Linked DNA regions of Cricetulus griseus. The protein of the gene in region 1 purifies or fractionates together with the protein of each later gene. This does not show direct contact. Links are inferred from orthologs where the notes say so. Each region holds a gene or a part of one and is shown in the gene's direction. Other genes may lie near its edges.

Region 1 (2,676 bases):
TTTGTGCCCTGCTCATTGTTAGGTAGTCACTAGGCCAGCTCTCACCAGGAGGTAGGAGGAAAGTACCTTTACTAGAAAGAAAGCTGGTCCCCACTGCCTCTCACCCAGTCCCAGCCTTCCAGCTGTTTCTCATGGGTTCATTCAGTGTAGGCAAAGGAACTGTGGATCCAAATACAGCCTGTAGAAATGGGGGTGCCCTGTCCTGTTGGTGAACTTCAATGGAGTAAAGTTTAATTTTCATCAGTAACAGTATGTGTGATGCTGCGTTCAGCAGTCTTTGTTCAAAGCTTGGGCTGTCTTAAGTTTCTTGACAGTGGTACTGTGACAGAGAATTTAAGAAGGGAATGAGAGCTGTGAGAGTTTGTGGGTTTATGTGGGGTGAGCAAGTCTAAGAAGAGCCATTAAAGGCTAGAGAGCGTGCACTGTTCTTGCAAAGTACAGTTCCCAACACTCACATTGGGTAGCCCACAGCAGCCTGTAACTCCTGCTCCTGGGGTTCCAGTGCTCTGTTCTAGATTATGCAGACACCCACACATATAGACACACAAACACACACACACACACACACACACACACACACACACACACACACACATATATATATATATATAACTTAAAAATAAATCTGAGGAAAGAAAGAGCCATAAAGTAAAGACTTGGATCTCAAGGGGGAGAACATTTCAGTGGGATGGTCTGGCAGTGCTGGAGGCCCAGCAGAGGGGATAAGGGACAGAAGGAAAGGAAGTCAAGTTAGGACTTGAGAGTCATCCAGGGGGAAGCCAGCCATGGGAAGAAGCACAGAGCCAGGCTAAGGGACCACAGAGAGGAGTGGAAGGCTATCCTGTCCTGGGCAGCTTGAAAGGTAATGCAGTGTGTTCTGACGGTGCTCACACCACGTTTTCTGAGTGAGGGTAGGAATGGCTTGTGCCCATTAGTCAGTAGTCAGAGGTGTGAATGATCCCACTGTGGCAGTGATTTTAAGTTAATCATTATGACATGTTTGAGGGTCATCAGCACGTCGATGACAGTAAAAATCCAGGGTTAGCATCACCCAGTGAATAATGGTTCATGGAAAAGGAGGGGAGCCAGCCGTGGTCACATGCCTTTAATGCCAGCACTGGGGAGACAGACAGAACTGGCCAAGCCTGGTCTATGTAACAAATTCCATCAAGACTACCTCAAAAACAAGAAAGGAAAGCAAACAGGGCTGATCACTAGGGAACACTACCTGCGAAAAGCTCTACAGATTTCCATTTAATGGATACAGTTTGAGGATCAAGTCCATGTTCTTGTGGTTTGTCAGCCCAGTGCTAGACGCATGAACCTGTCTTACTTTGTATAGTCACACTAAGGATCACTGAGTATCATCTGTGGTTAAAATGACATCTGCTCCTGTGCTTTTGTTTTGTAGTTTTGAAGTAATTAAAGTTATCCATGGCAAGTTGCTGGATATGGTGGGGAAAGTGCAGTAAGTAGCCTGTCTCTCTCTAGAACCGCAAACCAGCATCTCTTGAGCTGGGAATGGTGGACCTGACTTACCTCTGCTCTTGTCTCTTCTAATAGGATACCTATTATGTTGGTTGGAAATAAGAAGGACCTGCATATGGAAAGGTATGTAGCTCTTAAGTCCAAGGCGATTTAGTCAGCAAAATACCATTTTTAAATTATTTTCTCATGGCCAAAGTTTTGTCACTGTGTACAACAGAAACAATATACCGTACAAATGCCACACTTGTTGACAATGAGGAGCAAACCGGGAGATTCCCTTGGGGTTAGTTATTGAGACAGATATTATTCAGTTTCCATACAGTACTTTGTGTACTGGTTGTGATCACAGTGATGAACAGGGGCAGGAACACCGTGTGCAGGGAGCTCAGGGCAGAGCATTGGGAGGAGCCTAGGCTGGTGGCCCTGGTGGGATTTTCCTGGGCCCTGAGTTGCTTAAACTCTTCCTATGGCATGGCTGTCGTGATTGATGCTGCAGTACTGGAAAGCAGTTGCTTCCCTGAACTGCAAGAGCTCATTGGCACGTAGATGACCCTGAAACTTGCCTGTTCTGTTCCAGCTCAGGCGGGACTACAGCTCCTGTCACTTCCTGACAGTAGAAGGAAAGCACACAGTTCTGCTTCACGGTGGAATGGGTCAGAGTGGGGCTGCTTGATAAATAATCGTAGCTGTTCTACATGTCAAAGAGTCAAGGCTTTCTTTTTCCTTCTTTTAAGGGTGATCAGTTACGAAGAAGGGAAAGCTTTGGCAGAATCTTGGAACGCAGCTTTTTTGGAATCTTCTGCAAAGGAAAATCAGGTATATAGTTTGTAAAGCTTATTTTGTGTCAGCCTCGTTAGTTACAAAAGAGTCTGATATTTTTTTAATTTATTTATTTTTAAATTAGAAACAAGCTTCTTTTACATGTCAATCCCAGTTCCCTTGAGAGTCTAATATTTTTAAGATTGATAATCTTCTGCTTAAAACCATTCTACAGAGAAGGGCATGTTTATTGTGAGCATATTATTGCTACTGTGTCTGTGTCCATAGGCTGGAGCAGAAATAAGATACACACAAGGAGACTTAACTGTATTACAACTATGTCCCTTTTCAGTAGAAAGTGAGTCAGATGCATGGTTATTTTAAGCACTAATTTTAAGAGTCCTTTTGTTGACAGTTTCAGCCCTGCAG
Region 2 (3,652 bases), on another chromosome or scaffold:
CGCTGAATGGTAATCTCCATCTTGGAGAAATCCAGCCACAGTCAGACCTGCCTGGACCGGTGGGAACTTTGGGAAAGGAAGCTTGAGTGGCCTGTGGTTTCCTTGTAGAAGTCTCAGCTGACTGAGGTGAGGAACGAGTGAAGCCCAGAGGGTCCACATATGGTGTCAGCTTTCCCGAGAAATGCTCAGGGACTATCCGCTGATAGTCATGGCTGGCCCTCACTCATGCCTCAGGAGGCACGGTGTCTGTGGCCATGAGCCTCCTGCAGCACTGAGGACCAGGGATGGACTAGCTCCTGCCCTCATGGCTTCTGCTGAGGTGATATCCCATGGGTACCTGCGTCTGCTCTACCAGAGGACTTGCGCACAGTGCTCATCTGAACATTACTGCACCAGCCTGGCCTTACATGACTGAGGCCATGCCTGGGATCCCGTCTTGTCTGAGCCACTGTTTGACACAGTGGCCCACTGTGTTTCTGCAGGAGCTGGGATGGTGGTAGACTGGGAACAAGAAACTGGCCTCCTCATGAGCTCAGGGGACGTGCGCATTGTCCGAATCTGGGACACTGACCGTGAGACGAAAGTGCAGGTAACGACTCCGGGCCCCATGCTATGTAGTACCAGACACCCCATGCTCCCACTCCACAAAATAGAGCCCATCCCTATCAAAGAGAACCAAGACCTGTGGCCTCCAGGCAAGCACAGTCAGTGGCTGCTGCCCAACTGTCTGCCCTGTCTGTCTGCAGGGAGACGGCGGGGAGATGGCATCTTGCTGCAAGGAGAGAAACTGATTACCTCTCGATGCACAATGACCCTGCATTTCAGCATAATTAAGCCTGTACTAATCCAAATTATTTCCAAATATTGTTTCTCCATGCAAATTAGGAACTATCAGAAATCAGTAGGATGAACTGTCTTAAATGAGAATGGTTAATTGTTTGACTGTCTGCATCTTTCCTTACCCTGTGGTGCTGGACACAGAAGGCCGGGCTTGTGTATGCTACCACTAAGCTGAAACTCGGACCCTTACCTACTTTTTTCTTTCTTTTTCTTTTTTTTTTTTTTTTGGTTTTTCGAGACAGGGTTTCTCTGTGGCTTTGTAGCTTTGGAGGCTGTCCTGGAGGCCAGGCTGGTCTCGAACTCACAGAGATCCACCTGCCTTTGCCTCCTGAGTGCTGGGATTAAAGGCGTGCTCCACCACTGCCTGGCCCATCTTTCATTTTCAAGATTGCTTGATTTTGAGACATAATCTTACTGTATAGACCAGTGTGGCTCCAAATTTTTCATAATAATAGGTTTTGCCTCAGATACCTGGGCTTCCTTGCCAGAGTCCAGTTGATCCTACCTCCTTTGGGTCCAGGGCAAAATCACAGATACTGTTTAGGACATCACATAGGTAGCTGAGAGATGTGTTTTCCCAGTGCCCAGCGAGCCACAGAGCAGAGCCTGGCCTCAGCATTCTCCAACCTGCCCTGCCAGAGTGGCACATGGACAGTTGTGGACATCTGCAGGGCAAAGGGGCAGAGACAGGCAGGAATGACAGGAGCTGGCATGGCATGAGGTCTGTCCATCAACACCGCTAGCATGCCACCATGGCACCCTCACACCCCATGGTGCCACATGACAATTGGAGTAAGACAGTGCTTGGCTGCTCCTGTTTCTAGGGGGCTATGTGCAGGTACAGCGCTTCCTTGGGTGTCATCGAGTCAGCTGCAAAGAAGGGAGCTTAGCTCTTTAGCAATTTTCCCCATTCAGAACCCCCCACAATTCCCCGTTTGCCCCATCTGATTAGAGAGCACTCTCCCCCTGAGACCCAGCTCCAGCTCCCGTTACTTCTTGCTCCCATTCATCACCCATCCTGCCCTTCTGCAGTATTTATGGCACCAAGGGGAGCAGAGAAGCAGTTCCTCAGCTCTTCCCTGACTAATTAGGGGTTTGAGGAGAGAGCTAACGAGGCTCCCTCCCTGCCAAAATGTGCTTCATCTTTCTTTTCAGGAAAGGGAGATGTTGCTGGAAAGGTTAATTGTCACTGAGAGCCAGGCATACCCACAGTTGCTTTCCAGGCTGTGCCCAGGCTTGGGCTCACAGGCTCTGCTCAGCCTGGCCTGCAGGCACAGGCTCAAGGCAGACAGGCAAGCAGATCAGCCTCATGCCTGAAGCCCTGTAGCCTACGATAGCCGCGTAGGTCGAGACCTGTTTCTCGGCCTGAAAGAAATAGATGTGCACAAAAGACTGCAGCAGCTGGAGGCCCCTCCTCACGGCTCTTTTTTCCCGGGGCTTAGGACATTCCCACCGGTGCTGACAGCTGTGTGACAAGTCTGTCCTGTGATTCCCACCGCTCGCTCATTGTGGCTGGCCTGGGCGATGGCTCCATCCGAGTCTACGACAGGAGGATGGCACTCAGTGAATGGTAACTGTCACAGCTCTCCTCTCCTCAGTGCCGTTTAAGATGGCAGAGGCCACTCCACTGTCAGTGTAGGGTCCAGGTTCCTCTGAGCGTGAAGTGTCTTCAGTTTACAGTGGAGCTCTGACCTCAGGCGAGAAGGCAGCACCTGGGCTACAGAGAATGCTCGGTAGGGTCATAGCTGGGCTTGTGTGTCTTCATTCTCCATCTTCATCTGCTGTCCAGTTGTCTGACAGCCCTGTGGCCTGTCTCTCAGAGAAAACCTCTTGAAGCTGACCCCACAGAGACAGAGGAACAGAGTGGCCTTCTCACTAAGCTGCCATCTCAGGCGGGTCTAGTAGGCCTTCTTCATCCCAAAATAGCATCCAAATTTCAAGGCCAGAACTAGGGAATTGGAGGCTAGACAGATAAGGGGAGTGGCCTAATACAGCCTAGCCAGCAGCTCCAACTTGGGTGTCCTCCTGAGGTTCTGCCCAGGGGCAGAGACGCCAGGCCACACCTGCTCCTCCTCGCCCTCCCTGCAATTCCCTGGCCGATGGGCTATGGGAGAAGAGGGACTGGGCTGGGCCCAGCCTGACTGCACCTTCCTCCTTTAGCCGGGTCATGACTTACCGAGAGCACACAGCGTGGGTGGTAAAGGCCTACCTGCAGAAGCACCCTGAGGGCCACATCGTGAGTGTGAGGTAAGGAGCAACATATGCACAAGACGTTTGCTGTGAAAACATTGTTTCCCCTCCATTTAAATATGTCCTTGATATTTAAACAGCTAGGGACTATGGCATTTCAGAGCAGTAATTGACTCTACACTGTGACTGGCCAGAAAGGTCAGAGTGCAGAGAGTTTGTGTGTGTGTGTGTGTGTGTGTGTGTGTGTGTGTGTGTGGGTGGGTGGGTGTGTTGTGGGTGTGTTGTGGGGGGGTGCTTGTGTGTGTGTACATTCGCACTCGCATCCATCTGTCTGAATGAGATGAGGAGGCAGGTGTGTCCCTCCTGTAGTCGCAGGGGCAGCAAAGCACGATGCACCTGGCAGCACAGTCCCAAGCAGGCTGGCTGTCCCAGCAGACTGCCTCATCACCAGCCAGCCTCTGCACATAAATTCAGGCCTGCTGCTCAGTAAATACTGTGCTGAGAGCAGCGAATCTTTATTTGCCTGTTAAAGAGACAGCAAAGCATAATTTACTGTTGTGAAGCCACCATTCCTTCAGAGTAATGTTCTTTCCCCCTTATCTATGGTATGAAGTAAAGCATA

What was found. The genes of interacting proteins can lie anywhere in the genome.
Region 2: the proteins of Rheb (region 1) and Rptor purify together in Homo sapiens (affinity purification with western blotting, with the first as the bait; 3 studies listed by BioGRID). This does not show direct contact. The link is inferred for Cricetulus griseus from reciprocal best matches to the Homo sapiens genes RHEB and RPTOR.

What each region holds. Positions count from the first base shown.
Region 1 is NC_048601.1:97,742,234-97,744,909, forward strand, and holds part of Rheb (GTP-binding protein Rheb), read left to right. Parts: intron 1-1,411; coding exon 1,412-1,468; intron 1,469-1,563; coding exon 1,564-1,611; intron 1,612-2,222; coding exon 2,223-2,304; intron 2,305-2,676. UniProt on the Homo sapiens protein: Small GTPase that acts as an allosteric activator of the canonical mTORC1 complex, an evolutionarily conserved central nutrient sensor that stimulates anabolic reactions and macromolecule biosynthesis to promote cellular biomass generation and growth.
Region 2 is NC_048600.1:132,394,658-132,398,309, forward strand, and holds part of Rptor (regulatory-associated protein of mTOR), read left to right. Parts: intron 1-482; coding exon 483-589; intron 590-2,282; coding exon 2,283-2,410; intron 2,411-3,000; coding exon 3,001-3,087; intron 3,088-3,652. UniProt on the Homo sapiens protein: Component of the mechanistic target of rapamycin complex 1 (mTORC1), an evolutionarily conserved central nutrient sensor that stimulates anabolic reactions and macromolecule biosynthesis to promote cellular biomass generation and growth.